Caenorhabditis elegans: one gene and its partner. The protein of the gene in region 1 purifies or fractionates together with the protein of each later gene. This does not show direct contact. Each region holds a gene or a part of one and is shown on either strand. Other genes may lie near its edges.

Evidence for each region.
Region 2: the proteins of R10H10.3 (region 1) and H06H21.11 fractionate together in Caenorhabditis elegans (co-fractionation; one large-scale study listed by BioGRID). This does not show direct contact.

Annotation. Positions count from the first base shown.
Region 1 is NC_003282.8:10,383,299-10,397,634, forward strand, and holds R10H10.3 (CUB domain-containing protein), read left to right. Parts: upstream 1-5,206; 5' UTR 5,207-5,221; coding exon 5,222-5,299; intron 5,300-5,682; coding exon 5,683-5,936; intron 5,937-6,279; exon of another isoform or gene 6,280-6,324; coding exon of another isoform or gene 6,325-6,523; intron 6,524-6,583; coding exon of another isoform or gene 6,584-6,967; intron 6,968-7,261; coding exon of another isoform or gene 7,262-7,722; intron 7,723-7,769; coding exon of another isoform or gene 7,770-7,988; intron 7,989-8,110; coding exon of another isoform or gene 8,111-8,371; intron 8,372-8,423; coding exon of another isoform or gene 8,424-8,612; exon of another isoform or gene 8,613-8,629; intron 8,630-9,016; coding exon 9,017-9,150; intron 9,151-9,211; coding exon 9,212-9,372; intron 9,373-9,418; coding exon 9,419-9,651; intron 9,652-9,703; coding exon 9,704-9,938; 3' UTR 9,939-9,996; downstream 9,997-14,336. Other genes in the region: Ankyrin repeat and KH domain-containing protein mask-1, read left to right, coding at 1-526, 732-1,431, 1,479-2,107, 2,159-2,677, 2,729-2,905, 2,974-3,302, 3,348-3,444; nfu-1 (NFU1 iron-sulfur cluster scaffold homolog, mitochondrial), read left to right, coding at 4,119-4,170, 4,214-4,276, 4,323-4,401, 4,466-4,955; Spermatocyte protein spe-26, read right to left, coding at 6,325-6,523, 6,584-6,967, 7,262-7,722, 7,770-7,988, 8,111-8,371, 8,424-8,612; R10H10.4 (DUF3149 domain-containing protein), read right to left, coding at 11,365-11,463, 11,513-11,656.
Region 2 is NC_003282.8:4,801,228-4,811,573, forward strand, and holds H06H21.11 (uncharacterized protein), read right to left. Parts: upstream 6,093-10,346; 5' UTR 6,066-6,092; coding exon 5,983-6,065; intron 5,930-5,982; coding exon 5,581-5,929; 3' UTR 5,470-5,580; downstream 1-5,469. Other genes in the region: dpf-7 (Dipeptidyl Peptidase Four (IV) family), read right to left, coding at 1-74, 506-1,321; dpf-5 (acylaminoacyl-peptidase), read right to left, coding at 1,604-1,709, 1,756-2,159, 2,625-2,769, 2,818-3,263, 3,589-4,098, 4,151-4,466, 5,055-5,341; ubxn-6 (UBX domain-containing protein 6), read right to left, coding at 6,363-6,626, 6,680-6,790, 6,840-7,241, 7,724-8,260; H06H21.37 (uncharacterized protein), read right to left, coding at 8,257-8,270, 8,321-8,468, 8,564-8,737; eif-1.A (Eukaryotic translation initiation factor 4C), read left to right, coding at 9,709-9,808, 9,856-10,140, 10,188-10,346.

The DNA of each region.
Region 1 (14,336 bases):
GAAGGATAAGAAGATCAAGAAGAAGGAGGAGAAAAAGATCAAGAAACAAGAAGCGGAGCCGGAACCTGAACCTGAACCTGAACCGGAACCAGTTCCTGAGCCTGAGCCTGTTGTAATTTCTGAACCTGTTCCGGAACCAGTACCTATTGTCGTTGAAGAACCCCCAAAAGAACCACCAAAGCCAAGAAGAAATCGAAGAAAGACAAATCCGGATGGCGTACCGAAAGGACCAAAAGTTGTTGTTGAACCAAAGGCATCAATTGCTGAAGAACCGTCTGAAATGCCATATGAACCTATCGTCGTCACAATCCCTCCCCCAGCTAAGATTCATGCTCCAATGGTTTCTCCAGGATCGTATTCTGAATCAGAAGAGTGGTGTAAAGCTGGAAAAGAGGGCAAAAAAGTGAAGTCTTCTAAGAAATCTGGTTATGGAGCTCCTTCGAGTGCTGGATCGAGTCAGGCTAAAGAATCATCGACAACTTCAAGCGTTATATCTGATCAAACGCCACCATATGAAATTGACACGGTATGTGTTGCCTGTTTATGGACATTTGAAAATAACTATTTCGTGAAATGACGGCACTTGAAAACCCCTGAATTGAAAAATAGTAATGTATTATTATGGTAAACAGGGAAAATTGTTTGTATGTCAGACAGGAATTTTGAATAAATAAAAATCAACTAGAATGACATTGGAAATAATATGCAATGAACAATTATTTTTATTTCAGAGAAATGAGAGCAGTTGGAAGCTTACGATTCCCGCTTATGCTGCATCACGAGTGATTGGAAAAGGCGGATCGAATGTTAATGCTGTTCGCGAAGCAACTGGAGCCATCATCGAAATCAATAAAATACAGGAATCCAACAAACAAGCTGAAAGAACAGTTCTAGCAAAAGGAACACCAGAAATGGTGAGATACGCGATGAACATAATCAATTATATGATATATGATGCCGATGTCTTGGTCACCGATGCAATTCGGACAGTTCTTCGCGGCAATTTGTCAGTTGCTTCGTCATTTTCATCTGAAGGTACATCGAAGAGTGCAGTTGATTCGACTTATGCTCCATCATCCATTCCAAAATCTTTATCTTCAGCAAGCATTGCTCGTCAATCTGCCTCACCTATTCCACAACAATCGTCTCAGAGATCCGCTAAATCACACCATCATCAGAAGGACTCGGGTGGCGGTAATGTGTGGCATCAAAGAATGGCAGCACGAGAAGAGAAAGTTGAGCCCTTAATGGAAACGAAACGAATTTCACAGTCACCGAAGCAAGCTCCACAAATTCCATCTACGCAGCAGCAATCAAAGTTACAATCCCGGCAGGATCAAGCGTCTGAGACTCTTGTTCGAGTTGCTCCTGCAGAGAACTTTGTTGCTCCAGTGCCCGCTTCTTCAATTGCAGCTCCATCGAGACCCAATCGTACGTTTTCCTTCTCCTTGTCTCTGAATAACTTTGTTTATTTTCAGAAAATGTTCTTGATCGTGTTATTGCTCCATCACTCCGGAGAGAGCCAACCACAACTCCTCTGATTCAACCAGTTCATCCAGTTCAATCTGTTCAATCTGTTCAACATATGCAACAGCAACAGCTAGCGCGACCAGAACAAAAGCTTGCTCAGCCATGTCTTCCAGACCCAATTGGTCAGCGATACTCGCAACCAATTTCACGACCACAATCATCGGTTCAAGTTTCGCAGTCTTCTTTCTCCAAAGCACCCGGAACTCGCCCTTCAACTGATTTCTCTCGTGCTCCTGGTCCACCACAGCAACAACAGACTCAAAACAATATGACTACAGCTCGAAACGAATTGTTTGATGAACAACTTGCTTTTGGTCAATTCAAACCGACTGGAATGAATTCTGTTGCTACCGTAATCCCTGCCAAACCTTCAGTAAATAATCAAAACGACGACAAAAATGGAAACAGTGATGACTTCGATTTTTCCAAAATGAGAATGTTTGATGAAGGCAAAGTCGGGAACATATGGGGAAAATCAGATGAAGATTCAGCTTGGGGAGGATTGTTTTCTCAATTCCTTCCACAATTGGGTGCCAATTCGAGTTTGAACAATTCCAACTCAAAAAATGATTCATCGGTTAGTTTAACAGCATTGAAAACAAATTTCTAAATTTTTATCTTATTTCAGAATGAATGGGGACAAAACGAGTTCATATCGCAGCTTCTTATTAACTCATCACTTCCTAATGCTACTTCGAGTCCACAAGGTGCTTCAACCATATCATCAGCACCAGTGCAGCAGCCATCTACGTCTTCTGTTACTACTGGATTATCTTCTTTGGAACTGAAAGGTTGGATGCCAGCCTCATTTGCACCGTCTGCTCGTGATCCGAATAGATCTCAACCACCCCTGTTTGCAAGATCTCAATCGAATTCTGTTGCTAATAGCACTTCCACGAATATTCAACAGCAACAACAACAGCAAATTCAACACCTTCAACAGCAGCAAGCACTACAACAACAACAGCAAAGGATTCAGCAATTCCAGCAACAATACCAACAGCATCAGTCTCAAAGTTCTCAGCAACCAAGTGACTTGATGTCTTCAAAGTTTTCAATGCTACAATCACAACAACAGCAGCAGCAACTTTACAATCAGATGCAGTCGCTAGGTCAAGATGGACAGGGATCCAATCTGTATAACCATGTAGGGATCCGTGATTTATGTCTGAAAATACGTTATTTGATTTATTTGCAGCTTGCCGCCCAATTATTGACTCATCAAGAGAGTTCTACAGGAGCACCTGGTCCAACAAGTAGTCAACTTGCAAATAGCTACTATCCATCACCTTCGTATACGGATGCCAGTGTTTTAGGGCAAATTAGCATGCCGTCATTGTCACAGAGAGGAATAAAGCAATTTGATGGATTTAATGTAAGTTTAGGACAAATTTGATGTTAAGATAGCAGGATCAGTTTAAAAATTAATGAATGGAAATTTAGAATGACTCTGATGGCGTTATTGCTGCTATTCTCGAGCAACAACAACAACAGAAGAAACAAGGACTCGCACAACAATCGTTCATGCATAACTCTCAACAGCCACAGCCGTTCGGAGCTCCCAGCAACGCTTCTGCAAATCAATCGCGACTCGGAATGATCCAACCTCGGCCCCAACCGCCACCATTTGTTGCTCCACAAGCTCCACCTGGATTCTCTTCTCTTGGAAATGCATCTTCCACGACGAACCCATCTCGAACTTCTATGCAGCAAATGTATCAGCAATACGGACAGAGTTCACAGCAACAGCCTTACGGTCAGATGCCTCAAGCGTAAGTTCTACGATTTCTAATTAAATATTTGTTTATTTATTACAGAATGGATTGGAACCGACTTGGACAGCAACAGCAGTCTGCATCTGGCCAACAAAATCATCAGTCATCCTCGTCAAATAAATGGTCTTCCAACTGGTAGATATCGCTCACAAAATCGTCTTCTTGTCAATTAGTCCCCCCTCCCCTCATAATAATTCGGTGTTTACTTGTTTTTTATTCAACCGTGAAACAATATGTCTTCCCGGTTGAATTGCATCCATTTTTCTTTATTTCGTCTCCTCGTTCCGGGTTTTGTAACACTTTTTCTTCATTTTAAATCTAGCCTTTTTTGGTCCATTTTTTCTTTCAACTCTCAAATGTTCGATCTTTCCCATCCCTAGCAAGTGTTTTCTTGCGAGCTCAGCCTTGTGGAAATTGTACTCTTCTGTCCAAATTATTCCCGTTTACCCATTTTTTGTTCTTTTTATATCTCCCCCGACATACTACTTCTTTTTTTTCGGTTATTTTTCAAGTCTTCCAACACAACACATATGTATTTGAGACGGATGTCAAATGGTCCCAACTTTTTCTTCCCTTTATTGAAAAGTGTGTCTTATTTTTCACTTTTGATGTTTTACTCGTTGTTTCATATGAAACCTGGGCATTTATTTCATTGCTAATTAATTATGACTTTCTTCGCTTTATGTTGATCCATGAATCGTGATTCTTGAAAGTATACAGGTTAGGCTATTGAAATGTACAACTCGAGGTTTTGATTCCTATATCTTGAGAATTAAGTCGGTAGATGTTGAAAGAACAAAAATTTTCAGAAAAATGATTTCATCAAAAATGCTCACAAGACTGAACCGGAGCTTTGTACAAGCAGGTGATACTGGTTCCAGAAATTCTTTCATTTTTTAAAATTTCAGCTCGATCAATGTATATTCAAGTTCAGGAGACACCTAATCCACTTTCTTTAAAATTTTTACCTGGTTAGTGGAAACTTCACTGTTTAAAATCTGAAATGTAGTATTTCAGGTCAACAGCTTCTCCCAGACGCCTCGAAAACATACGATTTCAGCTCAGCGGCTACAGCAAAACAAAGTCCACTTGCTATGTAAGGAATATTCCAAATTTTAACTACCATTCAGATAAAATAGTATTTATTTGTAAATTTTCAGAAAACTTCTTCGAGTCGACGGAGTGAAGCGTGTGTTCTTCGGAGAAGATTTTGTAACTGTCACGAAATCAGATGAGACTGTTGACTGGGCTCTCCTCCGTCCGGAAATCTTCTCAACAATTGCTGATCACATTCAAACCGGAAAACCTGTCATAAATGAAGCTGCAACTGTTTCCGACCAAGTGGAAGAAGATGATGAAGTTGTAATGATGATCAAAGAAATTCTAGAGACACGTATCAGACCAATGGTACAAGAAGATGGTGGAGATATCACTTATGTTGGTTTTGACGATGGTGTTGTCAAATTGAAGATGCAAGGTTCATGCACAGGATGTCCAAGCTCTGGAGTCACTTTAAAAAATGGAATTGAGAATATGCTCACATTCTACGTGCCTGAAGTGAAGGAAGTTATCGAAGTTAAGGATGAATCCGATGATCTTGTGGAACAAGAGTTGAAGAAATTTGAGCAATCAAAAGGAATCAAAGACTAATTGATAATTGATTCGTGTATAACTAGATTTGTTTTTATTAGTGTTTGCTGCTAGAGATAAATGTTCAATGAATATTTATAAAAACTTTTTTATTACTTTGAAAGTCGTATTAGTAGAATTGGTTTATGACTCTGAAATCATCGAATCACGTCAAAGTTCAACGGCCCAGTCCAAATCAGTGATATCAGTTAAAAGACTTATCACCCGGAAAAGTGGAAAATTGTGCTTCGTAAATTGATAAGAAATCAGTCAGAGTGCTGCTCAAAATGTTGAAACAAATTCTTCTCGTCGCTATTATTTTAAATTTAGGAGTATCTGCGTATAAGAAGAAAAGCTTGATTCATGTTAGTTTTTTTTTCAAGTTTTTGAATTTTCAATGTTATCCAGACGCGGAATTTTGCTATTTTTGCGGCTGGTTCGGTTTCTGAACGACATCATTTTAATAAATGCGGAAGGTACGCGCCTTTAAAGTGAACTGTATATCCAAACTTTATTTGCTGCGGTCAATTCTTCATAGTTTTTCGAGAAAAATATGTTTTTTTATTTATTAAACAAACTACATTTTGAAATCAAAATACAAAAATCTTCAGAAAAACATGAGACAACAACTTTTGCATTTATCAAAATTTTATCGTGACGAGACCGGGTACTGTCGCTAAAGTTCGCGTCTGAGTAATTGTGTCTGTAAATTATAAATTTAGAATACTGTAGAATATAAATTTATCAGAATCATGACAAAGTGATCGTATCAAACGACGACTTTATTGGATGCCCAGTTAACAATGATTTCTATTACAATGGAACCATTAATTCACCATTGTATCCATACAATTATCCTCCAAATGACAAGTGTTACTATTACATTTCTGCTGAACCAGGAAAAGTTCTCAAGATTTCATTCTCTCATTTTGATTTGGAATCTTGCTGTGACTTCATCACAATTTATGATGGACCAACTGTAGTGTCGAAGAAACTTGTACAGTAAGTTTCTATTTTTTCACAATTTTAAATAATTCAAATGTAAATAAGATACGTACGACGTCGTACGTATATAAGAACATACGCACAAGCAAGGGCTGTCTTTTATAAAGGTGTTTTAGGTTTTTGGTTTTATGCCAAAAATTGTTTTCATAAACGATTTTGTATTTTTTCGTTCCAAAAAAGTTAAAAAAGGGTAAATTTTGGTACTGAGGTAAAGTTATTTCGCCTGATCACAGGCACAAAATGACAGGCAGGCACATAGGCAGGCAAGAAATGTGGGACAAACGCCTTAAGATGTGCATGCTCAAATAGATTATATCTTTGAACTTTTCATTGACTGGAAATTGAAACCTCATTTATCTACTTTCCGAGTAAAAATGTCAAAAGTTCAATTATTAATTGACATGTACGATGCACCAGCATCATCTTCATAATCATCATCCATTTCCATTGATTGTTCATTGATTGTTCCTCTACGTTCCAGAAAGTTTCTCCAATTTGGTGCCACCAAAACGTTCAATGCACTTTTGGCTCTAGGAACATCAGGAATAAAACTGAATCGAGATGCATTCGGTTCAGGGAGCAATCTTTAAAAAGTTATTGTTGAATTTCGAATCGAGCTAAAAATTCTTTAAAAATTAACATACATTTCACAAGTAGCTTCGACTTTCTCCGTATATCCAGCCACTGAGAATAACCATCCTTTGTAAGAACATGCTGCACTAGTTGATCTTCCATAGATCAACTTCTCCGGTCGTTGCTGCCATTCACCAGTTCTGTGCCACATCCAAATCTTGTTTTGTCGTTCGGCACCATCAAATCCTCCAACAATAAGCAATTGGTTACCGTGGTTGAGAAGACAATGACCAGTTATTGGATACGGTAGATCAACAGTTCGAGAGAAAACATTTCCAATTGGATTGTAGACTTCAACAGACGCAAGAATCATGTCACCATTGAAACCACCACTAACGTAGATTTGATTCTCAAATACTTCAGCAGCACAGTCGGAACGCATGTCTGATAGGCTTCTAAAAATATAAAGCAGATTAATCGGGATACAAGCAAAACATTATAAAGATGCAGAAAAACCACTTTTGAAATCGACATGCAAACATGCTCTACGGTCAATTGATAACGCTCCGCCCCCGAACCATGGGTCTCGTTAGGTATTTGGCGGCAAAACTATTCCGAAATCGATGTCATTTCCTTACAGTTTTTTTTTCCACCAAAGGGCTAACGAGGCCCATGATTCGGGAGCAAAGCGCTCTCAATTGGCAACGGAGAGCATTTCCAAGTCGATTTAAAAACGCCACAGGGCTTACGCAGTTTCAGTCCATTTATTGGTCTTTGGATCGAAAACCTCTCCTGTACGACTTCTCACTGCAGTTCGAGTGATCTCTCTGAAATTCTGTCCTCCAAACACATAAATCCTCCCGTCATACACCACAGAACTGTTTGAAATGTAGTTTCGTGGTTCCATCATATTATTGCATCGATCCCATTGCCACGTTTCCGTTGACAATTTCCATGTTTCGCAACGAGTGCGCTGACCAGTCGAACCACCGAACAAGTAGAGAATTCCATCAACAATTGCTGATCCATGATATGCAAGTGTTGTTGGTAGCTTCTGCTGGGACACTTTCCAGCAGTTATTCTCCGGATCAAACCATTCAATTCTATCACATGCTTGTCGATGAAGCCATCCACCGATGATGATGAGAACATCTCGAGTTCGGCGTGCTGGTTTAAGTGACGGATGGAATTGGGACAATGATTTGGCAATCTGTACAAGTTAATGAGTTTAGTTTAGAAACTGAACTTTAAAAAAACCTGTTGGTCCAGAGCCAAAAATCGAACAGTTGACATGAGCATCGGACGGAATTTATCACGATTTTCAAAATCAGCTGCAATCCATTGATTGATAACTTCAATAATTTGAGTCTCCTGCTCAACATTTACTTCTTCACTGCTCAAAAGATGCTTGACCTCTTCCACTGGTAAACGATAAAATTCAACATCAACCCGTTTGTCGACAACTACCATTCTCGCCTTAATTAGTTATTTTCAAATTTGATTTCTATTTAAAGATGGGGGAATATCGTGAGAACTTTTGAATACTCGAAATAATTCAAAAATATCACTTTTAAATAACTTCTAAATTTTGAACGTACCAGATTGTAAAGAATATATTCAAGTGTTTTGTGTGCATGGTTCTGGCAATCGAATTCGCGAAATTTCTTGTGAAGAAGAAAACAGTTCACATCTGACAACGTTGACAGAATATGATCACAAATCGTATTTTTCATTTCTAAAATTTTTGGAAAACAATGTTGACCAAATCCTGCAATTTCTTCCAGTGATTTTTCAATTCCAAACCATCCCATTTCATCGGTACTGTCTGAGACTTTTTCCAAGCCGAGCAAATACTTGACCTAGAAGTTAACAACTACATTTTCTGAAGTTTGGTAACAATAAACAACTTACTGTTTGAGTAGTGAATGGTACCAAAATGTTCTTTTGCATTGATCGAGGACTCAATGCTCCAAGACGATTTAGTTCTCGAGCAATCTCTGATTCCACAAGTTTTACTTCAAAACGTTCTTCATCTTTGGAGATTATTGCCACATCACAACGATTATCGATTGATGTTAATTTTGAATTGCAAAATCGCATTTCGAGAGAATTGCTAAGATTGAGAAATGGCAAATCGTTGAGGAGAAAATGAGAAATGGAACAACCACGCGGGCTTGTATTTATTGGAATAGTTATTTAATTTAATTTATTAAAAATAGTTTATTCAATCGAAATTTAAAAAAATGTGTTTAAAAAAGTAATTTTATGAAGCGCCAGATTGTGTTCTTCTCTTCAAACGTTAGAAGTCTAATGAGAAAAATTTCTAAAAATAAAGTAATCAAATTTCATGAAAAGTTAATAATCCGGACAAGTTTTACTCATTTATCGTAACATCCTTCAATAAAACATTAAAAAATATAGATTTTCGATGAAATTTTTCGAAAACCTTAAGGGGTCCTACATCGCGCGTACTGTAGTAATCAAAAATATGTGTTTTTTCTTAGAATCGGTGGACCTGGATCTAATGTAACCAGTGCTGGAACTTACTACACAACGACAAGAAACGCCGTAGTAACTTTTGAATCAAACCCAACTATTCAGAAATCTGGATTTTCGATGCAATATCAGTCGGTGAATAGTGAGTTTTCTAAAATTTCAAAAATCTTGAAGCAAAATTTTGTATTCAAAAATATTTTCAGCCGTGGCACCATGTAACCGTGACATATTCCTGATTGTAAATGGGTTAGCCAACGTTGGATCCCAGGCAAATTACCAAAAAGAAATCAATTTTATCGCCAATCAATTGACACCAACTTGGAATGTCGGACTTGATAAAGTTAGAGTTATGCTCAACCTTCAGGTGATAATTTGATGAGTGACAAGACAAAAAACATATCAAATTTCAGACAGACATTGATTATGCAATTGTTTGGTCAGCTGATGATGTTCCATCAAATGCCAATGTTACACAAGAAGTTCTAAATATGTTGGAATATGTTCCAGATGTTACAACAGACAATAACATGGATCTTGAATGTCTTTTCCGTTATGCTTTTGACGGTCTTGATGATAGTAAAGAATTCGATGAAAGATATGGAATCGAAAAGGTTGTCATCATTTTTGTGGCTGCCAATGCAAAGTTTGTTTATTTTTCAAAAAATCTTTTGTTGAAACTGTAAACAATTTTGCAGTAACGATCAAGATTACAATGAATCATTCGAGTTTGCTCATAAAATTCGAACAGAACAAGATGCTAAGGTGATCGTTGTTGGTATGGGATCAGGACTTGATCAAACTCGCTTGTCTAAACTCGCATATGCCTCTGGATATGCTTTCTTTTCGACCAGCTATGATAATTTATCATCATTGATTCCAAAAATCAATAATGCTATTTGTTCGGGACTTAGTTCTCAATGTGGACCATAGATTTGCAACTTTAAAATAGATCTATTGTCGTTGGAATGTGAATAAAGTTGTGATACGCAAATGGCAACTTTCCTCTATACAATTTTTAATCTCTTTGGAATTGCAAGGTATCTACAGCCAATGTTCTATTGGTGGTTCTATTGGTTTTGCAGTTACTTGTTTGAGTTTTTCAAACACGTGTAATATAACTCAAATATTATAACAGTTATTGTCTGAAATTTAATTTGAAACAGAGGCGTTTAAACCAATTTTGAAAAAGTTTACGAACTTGTGAACAGTTTGAAAATTGTTCATCTGAATGTTCTGTCAAGGTTATTAGATTTTCAAGCTAGTGTAAGCTGCAATCTGATTGTGAAAAAACTATTCATGGTTTCCAAAATAAAAACTAATTCCAAAAAAAAAGAAGAAAATCACGGGGTCAAAAAAAACTTTTAATTTAAAATAAATACTAGATACAGTTTTGATTAAAACCTCTGATCGAAAAACATTCAATATGAACGTGACTTGCCCATAGCCTCGTTTTCTCCTCCAGTAATGGGCCAAAAGAATGGGCCAGAAAGAAAGGGCCAAAAGGCTGTATTAAAAGCAGTTTGCAGTTTTGGAAACTTCAAATATCCGGCAGTTTTGGTCAATGGCACTGGTACATCAGCTTTGGCTCAGCATCGCAATGGCCTAATGGCTCAGAGGAGGTGGCTGTGTGGCCATCACTCAGTAGCTCAGTAGCTCAGTGGCTCAGAGGTGGTGGCTGTTTGGTCATCTACATTGTGGCGGAGTATGGGATTCGTTTGTCAGCTTTGGCTCAATGGCTTGTTGGCAATTGCTAAGTGGCTTAGGGAAGGAGGGTGTATAGTCATCGCTCAGTAGCTCGGAAGTTCAGTGGCTCAGAGGTGGTGGCTTTATAGTCATCGCTCAGTAGCTCAGTATCTCAGTGGCTCAGAGGTGGTGGCTGTATGGCCATCTGCATTGTGGTGGATGTATGGGATTGGTTTGGCAGCTTTGCCTCAATGGCTCGTTGGCAATTGCTCAGTGGCTTAGAGAATGTGGCTGTATAGTCATCGCTCAGTAGCTCAGTGGCTCAGAGGTGGTGGCTTTATAGTCATCGCTCAGTGTGTGTGGCCATCCCGTGACTGTATGGTGGCTATATGAGCTTTTCTACTAATGATATGTGACAGTATTTTAACAAACGTAAAAGAAACATGATCATTAGTTATTGGACAAGACTTTTCTACGTAAACCAGTTAAAACGAAATACGTGTTTAAAGTAATATGCTAAGAGATTGGTTTTGTCAAGTTCCGAGAAAATTTGATTTTCATCTCGATGTAATATACTTTGTTCCGCTGTTCAGATTTTGTTGCACCGAAAAATATTCATTTTGAAATAGAATTATTGCAAAAATAAATCTAATTAAATTCTACAGTCAACTAATTAATATTCATGTCCATCCTCATCGACGTGTTTCTCCATTTTCTCCTTGACCAGAGAGACACGGTGTGGTCCAACTCGCAAATTGTACTTTGCTCCTAGCTGGAAAATGTTCTGATTAAACTTTTGATCTCTTTCAATCACTCTTCACCTTTTCAAAAGCAGTGACTTCATCGGTTCTTCTGATGAAGGCAAAGTTGATAACGAATGTTAGCATGAATACAATCACTGCAAAAGCTGCTCCAACGAAGAGTGGTGCTGCGTAGTCAAGTACTTCGAACTGTTGTTTTGGCATTTGTCTGACAATTTAAGAAATTCAACAGTTTAGGAAATTGTCTCATAATTTTCAGTGTTAAGATAAAATATAGCTTCTTTAAAAAATTCCTAAAATCATCTCTAATCAATCTAACTGATAGTATTCTCAAAAGTATTCAGGTTTGAGTCTGTACTTAAACTAATGCTCAGAAAAGCTTTTGTGAATGCAATATATAAGACTTCTCAAAACTAGATAAATATCTACAAGAGAAGTACCCGCTAGAGCGCAAAACCTATAAAGGAATGTGAAGATATTCTTTGAAAATCAATGCGTTTGATGTGCCAGAAATAAAATGTAACCATAGAGACACAGAAAGTAGAGACGCAGAATCAGCCGGATATCCGACTAGAAAAAAAAAATGAAAACGAGTTTTATAGAAGAAATGAAGCAGTTGAATATTATGGGGAACTTGTTGATGAAGGATTAAGATGATGGGAGGATATGGGGGTGGATGACTGGAATATTGGAACAGATAAAGAGAAAAAAAACAGACATTTATGGTCATATAATTTCAGTATTTAGGAGAAGATCAAATGGCCGAGATTCCAGAGTTTTGAAATGGTTTATCAAGTGATAATCCACTAACACAGTTGACTCGTTATTTGCGCGTAATGCTTCAGAAAGCACAATATATTTTATTGGCGATGTGTGCATCATGCCTTCAAATGCCGATGATGTGAAATTTCTGAGGAGACACATCGCAAGTTAACAATACGAATGAGAAGAATTCCTTTTGAATACAGCTACAGAGGGAGGGTAGATATCTAGAAATGCATCTTCTCTTTCACAAGACACTGAAACCTTTTCTTGGTAGTAATTTGACAGGCAAAAATGAATTCGAGAAAAAGAAGGTTGCATGCGTTATTCAGAAAAAAAAAAGAAACTTTCATAAACTGGGAAGAGGTTCGACAAAGCACGCAACAGCATTTCCTGAAAAGATTAGTACAAGTGGTTCACAGAATACAAGAGCTTTTTCTAATCTTCTCTTTTGGTATTTGCCTGGAGTTTGAGACACCATTCAAGCACTGAAACTTGAAAAAAACGGGACTGAAAACCAATTTCTGCAAGAGAAAAGTTGGAGCAGTAGTCGAAAGTTGACGAGGAAAAGGTAACGCATTCTTTGTTTAAAACCAACTTTTTGGTTCCATGTTTAGCTGCCAAATTGTGCCGGTCGAGTAAACTCACGATTTGTGAGCTTTTCCCAGTTTCCATAAAGGTCTCAGCTTTCACAGCTTACAAATACATAGATGAAGTTCCTTTTGATGCCAGACATTTGATATTTTCACTTTGTTTGATGACTATTGTTATTATGTATATTATGGTAAAAAACGTTATGGTATCAAAATGTTCATTCCATTATCTTTTCTTCGTCCATTACCTTATTCATTTACTTTCTGTATTAAAATTTTCCGACAGAACAATTCCCTCAATTTGAATGTGGATGTATTCTAACTGTCTGACCACATCAGTGTCAAAGTGCTCGTTTCAGTTATTTGACATGAAATGGACCTTTGTTTGGTTCCGAGTTTATTCAAATCTCTTTTTCTTGTCTAGACATATAATACGACAATTAGGAAGTTGATTGTTTATGAAATGTTATGAATTTATCTATTAAAGAAAGTTAATTTGAATTTTCGAATAATTTTATTGATTTTGCGAGAAAACTAAATCCGTCTTGTTCTTGTGCTTCAGATAAATTGCCAAAAATGAAGTCGATGTTTACAAAACGTTTAGTTTTCGGAGTATTCTTATTTGAAATTTTTGAAAAATCATCAAAAAACCAGAAGCGCATATACTTTTGGCCGACTGTGTAAATCAAATCAATATTAGTTTTCATTTCAATTTTTTCAAATCTTTCAATCATTTTTGTTTTGAAAATTGATTATTTCGAATACTTCACATTTCATATTATCGAATCGAACATATTTTGATATTCTAGTAACCCAAAAACATCATCCCTTCCATTTCCCAAAAAAGAGATTCTTTTGATCAAAAAAAAGAAGAAGAAAGCATGTGCGCACAAATTGGAAGGGATGAGAGAAAATGCCAATTACCCGGAAATTCCTCTCTATTTCTCTTTTCTTTGCTACCTTTTTGATCCGCTAGATATCTGCTCATTCGATTTGCTCGGAGACAAGTATTACTGGGGAGGTTTCATTCAAGCTTTCCACGCTTATTGATCACTAACTTTTAAGCGGTCTTTAGTTAAGGCAGATCAGATGTAGATGATTTTGAATAATATATTTTTTTAATTTGGAAATTAAAACTTTGCACATTCTCACTACACATTAGCAAAAAATGATTCTTTCAAATGTGGCGTAAATATCTTATTTTGAAATATGTATATAGTTTAGAACTAACTTTGAGTGATGGTAGTTTTAAATTTAAATTCAGTCGCAGCATGAGCTGATCTTGTTTGCAAAACTGTAGTAAAAATACACTTTTTCTCAAAACATGCAGCTATTTTTTTAAATCGAAAAAATAATAATGTAAAATAGTTAACAGTGTCATAATCCACGACTATTTCCGCGAAAATTTTGTTAGCGATGTTCGGGAAATCATCTATTCAGACTTTCAAGTGTACTTCTCTTGAAAAAAAGAAAATAGAAATAGAAAAACATTCTAGACAAGTGGACCTTATAGAAAAGATCATGTAGTC
Region 2 (10,346 bases), 5.6 Mb from region 1:
CATACTTTCGATTTTCCTAGTCTCAGCACGTCATGTCTCACTTGGACGGCAGCTTTTACAAATGGGTAATGGAACTGAAAACGAAGAAAATTAGTTTTGTTTAAGGAGAACAGTTTTGGGTATTTATAGATACAAAATCTGCCAAAAAAGAACTAATTTCTGAAAAATTAGCAAATTTTTAGCTAAACCTACCATCTTTTCAATTTTAATGTGGAAATTAATTTTTATTCGATTATCGGCCTATATTGCATATATTTATAGCTTATCTCACGTTTTTTCGGTAATTTTGACATATTTAAAGCCGAAAGGTAGCCAAAAGTGACCAAAACACGTGCGGTAAACTACCAAAATTTGCAATAAATGATGATAATTAAGTAAAAATCAATTTTAGACAGCTGCGACTTAGATTTGAGATTTTAGCTAAAATTCGATTATTTTCGATATATTTTTTGTTCATTTAGGCACATTTTGTGTCTAGTCTACTTTTGAATTTCCTATATCTAACCAAAATAATATCAGCATCATTGTGAATATTCGGTCGTAGAAATACAGCCATTCGACTTTCATCTGGCGAGAAAGTAATCCTCAACGGAGCCGATAGATTCGTTGATATTTCATTTATATATTTCTCTCCAAATCTGTGCCAGAGAAGGTCTTGTCCTCGATGAAATACGATTCCCCGACCATCAGGCGTCCATTCGACTGCTGTGATCGTCTGATTACAAATATTCTCATCAGTGATTACTGTAACTCCTTTCGCATCGAAATCGAAGATGCATATCACAAATTGGCGCTCACCACGTCCCTGCGTTTCCTTTTGTTCTTCATTTGGTAGTGCAAAGTAGAGCAATTTTTTATTATTTCGAGAAAGTTTGAAATGAGCATTTGGTCCTGTCACAATAATAGGTCCATGATATACGTATTTAACTAGAGCTACCGTGAATTTTGCCTTCTTATATTGAACATCTTCTACTTGAATAACATCCTTATCGTGACCCATTTCTATGGATTCTGCTACGAATACGCAGACTTTACAATCATCCGAAAATATATGGGTGAAGTATTTCCAATCTTTATCCGTTTCCGTTTCCATTAACATCCAAAGTTTATTCCTCGACACTAATCCACGTGATCTCATGTATTGCCGTTGATCTGGGCACTCTAATGTCTCGTAAATGACCCAAACTTCTTGTGGTTCGTAATCGGAAGGAGTTGTGATACGTGCAGTATTCACCCGGAACTGAAGCATTTGTTGTGAGATTGTGACAAAAGCTTCATGCATTTGACGAGTGGCCAACGGGACCTCCTCGTCTGTAGACATTATAGTTGTACACGTATATGATGAAGCTGCTAAATATTGACTGCCTGTAAGAAATGTAAGAAATCTCTAGGAATTTCAGATGTTCAATTTAGAAATTCCACTAGAAATAATTAAAAATGGGAAAACCAAAACCGTTGAAAAACTGAAATCCTCCAGAATATACAAACCGTTCATATATAAGAGATTTACAAGGCAATATCACGGGAAAATGAATGAAAAAATACCGGGGGCAGGAAAAGAAGCAGCCGATGAATAGATAAATACATATAGACATTAGTATATTTACTGAGACAGTGATTTCTCGAACCAGCGGACCATGTTGATTGCATAGTCGGCCTCAACGTTGACCTCATCAAGTGGATGGTTCGATGGTGGGTAGGTGAGAACCCTGAAAAAAAAAACAATTTCTCTTGCAAACAATTTTTCAAGAATACCTTGCCGGAACTCCACGAGCCTTGAGAGCACGAATAAATGCTCTGTAGTGAGGAACGACACGAAGATCCTTTTCACCAATGAGCAAGAGATACGGAGTAGTTGCGTTCTCCACATGAGCAATTGGCGAAGAGTTGAACATTTTCTCCCGTTGTTCGGTGGTCGTGATCTTTGTCCAGTCTGGATATTCTCCGGTTCCCTCGAAATAGCACCATTCAGGAATATCAGTGATATCATGCATTGTGGCAATGTTGACGACTGGATTCAAGGCAACACAACTTTTGTAGAATCCTGGATATTGTCCAATTAAATGAGACACCAGGAACCCTCCATGAGATCCTCCGAAGAGTACAACCTTGTCTCGAGAAATACGTGGATTCTTATCCAAGACGGTGAGAACTGCGTTCTGAATTAGTATTAATTACATTGATAATACATGCGGTGTAGTCGAATAAACGTTCTAAATTCTTTGACAAAACGATATGCAAAACAGCACAAGAATGTCTAAAACGGATGTTTAAAGGCTTCAAACTACCGAAAATCATTATCGTTGTTTAAATTTCGCGCGTAAATGTGTTTCATGGATTTTCAGCGGATAGATTTATTCATTTTTTGAATCTAAAAACGATTTTTCGTATTATTTTTGACTTTTGTTAAAAGTTTTGTCAGAAAACATTTAAATTTTCAATATAAAAACACGAAAAATCGACTAAATTCCAGAAAAATAAATTAATCGGTAAGTGGGTTAATTTTTGCGCGAAATTCAAGTTATTCGGGCGAAGAGGTTGATTTTCGGAACTTTGAAGCTTTATAACATCCGGTTGAGTCTTGCCATAACACAGAGAAAGTTTTAAAAAAATGTTCTCCTTACATGAACATCCTTAACATCCATATCTCCGCAGTTTCCAGGCAGAGCACGAATAAAATCGTCACCAAATCCGAGTGATCCACGGAAATTGACTTGAAGGACGGCATATCCAGAGTTGAGAAGAGTAGTAAGATCCCGACGTGGCCAGCTGAACTTTTAAATGAAAAACGTTTAAAAAAGGGAAAAAGTAACTCACCTTGCCATGGATGCACCATGAGGTCCACCATGGGGATTCACAACCATTGGAAGATTGTTTCCCTCATTTGGAACAATCAGAATTCCTTCGTAAGTCGCTCCGTCACGCTCAAGATTCACAAATTCCCAGGAGAACTCGAAGAGATGACGACGTTTATCAACAGCCTTCGCCTCGTCGATTCGCACCCAAACCATTTCCTCGGCTTTTCCTGTCCCTGGAAGTTGTCCCAGAAGAACGTTTGGTGGGCGATTCGGAGCAGAGACGACTGCGAGCACTTCGTTATCATAGACATCAAGAAGAGACCAAGTTCCAAGGCATATGGAGTGATTGGTTAATTTTTCAATGTTCCCAGTTGCGATGTTAACGGAAAGCAGTTCCAACTTGCTGCACCAGGAACTTGAAAGGATAAGACGCTTGGAATCAGTAGACCAAGAACGAGTTGCTGTCTGTAAATATTGATTTTTGAAAAATCGGTAATTATATTGCCTTATATTCTGTCCCTTCCTCATGTACATATCGAAATACAGGAAAAAACTTTAATTCCAAAAATCTTCGATGAAGCAGTTTTTTGCATTTTCAATATTTTGAGACAAAATCTCAATCTTCGGAGATGAGTTCACAGTCTTTTGAGACAAATTAGTAATCTTTTGAGACAAAATCGAAATCTATTCGAAATTTTTAGTAATCTTATATGGACGCACTATTTCTCGTATTTACTACAAAAATATTGCTATTTAATATTTTCATATTAGATTTGAGTTGCCTGAGTACCTGTGGGAATGTGAATCCCTGGAATTCGTCTGCAGATCTCTTCTCCTTCACAATCGGAACAATGATTCGCTTCTCAATGTTTTCAGCAGAATCTACTTTCAATGGCCACTCAACAGCTACCATTTCAAGAACTGCTTGATGTGGTCCATCTGCTGCTCTCTGGAACCACACCAAAGTATTTCCGTCGGGCGAAAATTGCAATTCTTCAGCCGAGATTTCACCCTCACTGATCTTCGTCAGCTTTGCGGTCGCAAGCTCATAGTAGTAAAGATTTCCACGGCGATTGTTGCAGTAGATTCTGCCAAGCCGTGGGGTGTCCTGCTCTTCGAGGCCAAAGAAAACAACGCCAGCATCTCCTGGAGCCCATTTCGTGTAGGATGGGGAAATATTCGCAGGAATTTGATCGAGAGCTGTCACATTTCCACTGGAGATGTCGACAATGCAAATCACCGGCTGCTTGACACCATCGTTCTGCTCTCCCCATGACTCGGTGAGCTCGAATTTCTTGCCCTGCAAATAATTCTCTAGAAATCGAAACTTATATTTTTTATTTAATCTATACCACTTTGCTTTCGAAAACCTTCGTCTCGTTATCCCACTCTATATCAGCATCAAAGTATTGCGAAGTTTTCGAATTTCTCTCAGCCACGTACAAAACATGCCCCTCCCCGTACGAAAAGTGAAGGCATCCGAACGGCATACAACCACCACCGTGAATTGTTCCGTGCTTTTTCTGAGTGGAAAGATCAGCGCAAAGCTCTTCCACATGTTCCTCAAGATTGTAGATCTTCAAATATTGTTTCTTATCGTCTCCAGTTCCGATGGTCAGAAGTTGAGCAACACGGGAGTTTGATGCGGAATACACACTTCTTTGGTTTCTGAAATTAGAATTTATTCCATATTCATAAAGATAGAGTAGCGTCTGCCGGGGGTATTTTCTCATACCAAGAGAAAAAATATCAACGAACCGAATAAAACCGCTAAAATAATCATGGAATCTTTTCAATTTGGCTGAAATTGAATTATATTAGAGCACCCGCGCATTGTCTACACTCACGCAAAAAAGGCGTCACAGAAAACGCTCCCAAATTCAATTTTTATTAAAAGAAGGAAAATTTTAACTAGTTTTACAATTTCAACTACATATTTGTGATAAATAATCGAAAAAAGCATGAAATACCTGAAAGAATGAAGAAAATGGAATATTCAAAAAAAAAAGTGAATTCAGGAGCGTTTTCTCCGACGCACTATGTGCGTAAGTGTATGCATCACGCGGACACTCAAATATTATGCAGTTTTCTAAAGAAAGTATTGGGTTTTCCGCGAAATGAAAAGAAAACATAAAAAATTTAGCGAAATTCTATAATTATTTCAGCAGTTCTATTCGTCATATTGTCACTGTTCTCTGTTATTTTTGGCAAAATTCCCACAGACTCCATTCAATCTCCGAATAATTGTTTACTAACTCATAATTACACATTGGCACCGAAACCGACGTCATCAGATACCGATCCGTAACTTCCGGTCCTTTTTTTCCAATCAAGCTGACACGTTGCTGACGAGTCAACTTATTCAGCTGCATGGCACGGTTATCCCAAGTCGTGGTGACTTTGATGAACTCATCTCCTGACTTCTTCTCGATTCGTCCTTGAGTTGGAATCGGAATTTGTGCCAGATCGCCATAAAGATCCTTGAGCTTTTCCAACGCTCTCACATCATACTCAGCTGCACTTGTCACCACAGCAGACGACATTTTACGAAGGAGAAGACGCTGCATTTCGGAAAAGTTTTCGGAGAATTTTAGAAAAGGCAGAGATAAATAAAAATGGGAAGGTAATTCAAAAATGGATAGAAACCAATGAGATAAATGAATAAAAATCTAAAATCGAAATTTTATTGATTCATTTCGCAATGTGAGAAAATGTTTCGAGGGGTAGGTCAAAAAGTAACAAATTCAACAAAAAATTCACAACAATAGAAAAAACATAAATTTCATAATTCTTCAATCAACGGTTTCTTTGTAATTTCCGGTTTCGAATCCTCTCCTTTTGACTGAAATGCTTCTGGAAGAGCTTCGACATTCTGAATTCCGACATCTCTGTCATCAACTGCGCTGTTCATCTCCTTGAACACGTCTAAATCAATTTCAATCCTCTGTGTACTACTCGCTGTGCTCTTTTCGTCAGTTGTGACAGGTACCTCTTCCGAAATCGATTCTGAATTCGAATCGCTGTCGTCCGAGCTGTCATCCTCGACATTTTCAATATGAAAAGCGTCAGCTGACGCGTTTTCCGGCATATTTCGATTGGCTTCTTCCATTTGAGGCAGGAACGATTGTAATCTTAAATTTCGAATTAATTTTTCTTAAAAATTAAATAATTGCTTCAAAGTAACCTGGTTAATAAAGAAGATGGCCCGACAGGTGCGATGATGGGTTTTCCATTTAAAAAATTGGAGATCGTGGGATCCTGTGACATCTGAAAATGGTTTTTGGAGAAGCACAACTGAAAAAAGATGCAGTGGGCGGAATTTCGGCTTCTTCTTGATAGAGTGAATAATTTTCAAAATAAAAATCGATATACAACGAATAGAGAAACAGTTAAAGTGCGGTTCTGTACAAAATCTTTAATATGCTGCTCGAATCTTTTTGCATCTTATAAGTTAAATACAACGAAAGCGATTAGGCGAAATAAAACATCAGCAGTACCGGAAAAAAATAATGACAAACATATCACACTAATAGCCGGGAATTATATTTTTAAATTATACAAAAATTAGTCGGAAGCTTCAAGCTCCTGGATAATTTCGATATGCTCATCGGCAACGATTTGTCCATAATCAGACAGGTTTTCAGCGAAGACGACATGAAGAAGAGCAGCTGGAGCAAGACTGAGTTGAGCCAACGATGCAGATTCATCCTCCACGAGTTGACTGGCAGCGTCACGAAGAGTGAATTCGGATGTCGAAAGAGCATCGGAAAGAGTTGAAGCAACGAAGACACGGACTGCGGAAAATGGTTCATGGCAACCAAATACTCCCTGGAAAAATAAAATAAAATAATTAATCACTTGAATTTCTGGAATATACATACCTGCATCAACAAATTTCCAGGCAATCTGACACGAATCAACGTATATTTGTAGCGATAATTGGTCATTTGTTCGTCTTTTTGTCTCATTTCCTTCGTACGCAATGTCAGCATCTAAAAATTCAATTTATTGTGTGATTTTTCAATTTAAAGCTCCACTCACTCTCTCCACCTGCATCTCCTTATTTCTCTGTTCGGCTTTGAGTTCAGCAGTCGACAAATTGTAAAAATCATCTGCCAACTTTGGTGCTTTCGGTTTTTGCCCCTCTTTTAGCTTGAAGATCTCTAGATTTCTAGCAACCTTTATAGGCACAGCCTGCCCATCCTTCAAAGCTTCCAGAGCCTCCACCAAATGAACATCTGATGGTTTTGTGAACACAAGGAACTTGTCTTCTCCTTCAGATTTCTCAGTAAATCCAACAGCTTCAAGGAATGCACGTCCTCCAACTACTGATGCAACTCGTTCTTGGAATGCCTTATTTCCCAAACGAATTGATTTGTATTTATCCTCTCCTGGGTGTTCCAAAATGTTTTGACAATACTTGCAGATTGTTTCGATGGCAGTCTGAAATTTAGAAGATTGTTTGTTTTTCTACCAAAACAACGAATTTCGTACAGTTTAGGTGAAACGACCGATTCGCAGATTTACAAAAATCCGTGTTGATTTTTTCTTTCTGTGCGACGCTGATTTTTGCGAAATTTGCGGATAGATAGTTTAATTTCAACGGTAATGTGACAAAAATGTCACAAAAACTATGATGGCGGTTCAAAATTTTGAGAAAAAAAAAACGGGCAAATTTTAGCGAAACTCTTCAATTTGCCGAAATATTCCGTTAACAAAGTAACTTTTTTAGCCTATTGTTAGCTAAAAATGATCAAATTGGCTAAATAACGAAATAACGTTATTATAACATGTGAGAAACTATTACAATAGATTAAAAAACATTTTCCGACCGCTGCAACACACAAAAGTTGACAAAATTGGAGATTTTAGCCAGAATGAGTTCATTTTTTTTCGATATTTTGAAATTCTGAGCATACACAAACCTCCTTGGGATGTTTCTTATTAAGTGAATAGAGCATCAAAACTGCGGCAATCACTTTATCGTTTTCATCATCCGCCTCGCTGATCTGATCAGAAAGGAAATTTTTGATATCTTCAAGAAGATCTGCTTTCGAGCGAATATGATGCTCACCGAGCAACTCGGAAGTGTAGAGAACACGTGATATTGCGGATGAATGCTCGAGGTGTTGCTCACGGTCGGGTTGCTGCAGTGATGAAGTCCCAGAAATGTTGAGATCTTCAACCTGACGTCTCTCTTCTTCCAGCTCTCGTTTTGCAATCATTTGAATTCTTCGTTTTCCAGCATTTTGTTGAGGTTCATTCTTCTGCATCCGTTTGAAAGCAGCCTGAGCAGCAATATCAGCGGCCGCGACACGATCAATTTGGCCTCCCTGGGCGGCTCCAGCGTGGGCAGAAGGCTGCGAAGATGACTCGCCGGATGACAAACGAACACCTTCACCGCTCTTTTTGAAGTGATTCTGGACTCGCTTTTTGTTGAGGAATTTCTTGAAACTATTCATTCTTCTTTCTCTGAAATAAATTGGAATGGTTATCAGTGCAGAACTTGTTAAATATCTTACTATTTTTTTCGTTGCTCTTATTTCTCGCTTTCTCAATGTTCTCTCTTATGATAAACTCCTGAATGATTGGTGAATATCGATTCCACGCAATGATAGTGCCAACAGAGAAGATGAAAAGTAGAATAGAAAGAAAGAGTCCGAGAGCTACCTGAAATTTTCAAATTTTGGCCATTTTAGACAGAAACAAGAACAATAATTCACGTTAAAATTTCGAAAATCTCAAAAACATGTTCTCTAACGCACTTGTTTTTTATCCAACGAATAATTATCACAGAAGATAATCAAAGCACGATAAACGTTTTCTACTCCGAATGCTTCTGAGGAATCTGGAAGCGCGTCGGAGCTCTGATAAGCAACTGAATTTGTGCTCAACGGAGTCTGCTCAGTTGTCGGCTCGGCGACCAGAGGCTCTCCCATGCAAGAATAGCTGGAATTGTAGTTCTTTTTCAGAGAGATTTGCGGAAATTAATGATTGCGAAATAGGACAGAAGGCGATGACGACATTTGTGATATTGCACGGTGATAAACATATATTTTGGGTTGTATACAAACTTCAAACTTCATTTCAGAAAATTTGAAAAAAAGCTCATCTCGAAAACGCTATAAAAAACTTGGAGTTTTTCTATTGGAGAAAACTAAACTGGGGAAAGCTTTCGGACAGAAAAATATTATCTGCTGTATTTTTCATGATGTCGTTAATTTTGTGACTTAATAAACTACAAAAAAATGTAGGTAAAACACTTTTGCGTGAAAAGTTTGTGATTGTTTTCCCAAAATACGTTTTTGCGGTTAAATGTTCGTTTTGAGATGTTTATCTTACAATTCTTTTATATTTTGGACAATAATTATATTCTATGAAGTAATCTTTGATTCTGAATAACTTTTTTCCGAAAACAATTCGTTAAAACAACAAAATTTTAGAGAGAAAAATAAAAAATAAGCAAAATAAAAAATAAAAATAGCGAGTGTCGTAAATTGTGTCGCCAAGTCCGCAGTTACGTAACCTCGCGCCGCGCTCTTGCGATAGCAAACCCCGCCCACTTTTCTGTGCACTCCACATTTTCGTCGATTTTTCATTGAAATTTTTCTTCTGTTATTTTGTTTATTTTTGTCGATTGACGACATAATTTTAATCTCAAGCGCTGATAAAATTATTATTTCCAATTTTTAGAAATCACTTTTCATCAAAATACTCACGAAATCCAAGCAAACTGTTTATTTTGGGATAGTATACTCATTCTTCTTAATTTTTTGTTAAATTCCATTGAAATCTGACATTACCTTATGCATATTTATGTTCTTGTTTTTTCTACAATTTTTGCAGTCCTCTTTGCTTCTGTATTTCTCGTAACTTCAACTTTCCAAATTATTTCGTAATATTTTCAGCAATGCCGAAGAATAAGGGAAAGGGAGGAAAGAATCGCAGAAGAGGAAAGAATGAGAACGACTTCATGAAGCGCGAGCTCGACCTCAAGGAGGAGGGACAAGGTAGATTTTATAACTTCTTTCCCGAAAAACAAAAGCATTAATTCCAGAATATGGACAAGTCTCAAAAATGCTTGGTAACGGTCGTGTTCAAGTGTTCTGTTTTGATGGAAAGCAGCGTGTCTGCCATATTCGTGGAAAGTTGAGGAAGAAGGTTTGGATCAACGTGGGAGATATCATTCTCGTCGGTCTCCGAGATTATCAAGACGACAAGGGAGATGTTATTCTGAAGTACACCCCAGATGAAGCTCGCCGTTTGAAGAACGAGGGACTTATCCCAGAAAACGCCAAGCTCAATGAGAACGATGAACAAGACGAGGGAGAGGTTGAGTTCTGTAAGTTTATTTTTGCTGAAAATTAATGAAGTTCAATTTTTTTTCAGTGGATCACGTCGGAGACGAGGGAGAGGCCGGAGAAGCAAAGTCTGACTCAGATTCATCAGACAGTGATTCGGAGAAGTCTGACGAAGAGGCAGGATCGGATAAGGAAGAAGAATCGGACGATGATTCTGAAGAGGAATCAGACGAAGATTCAGATGATT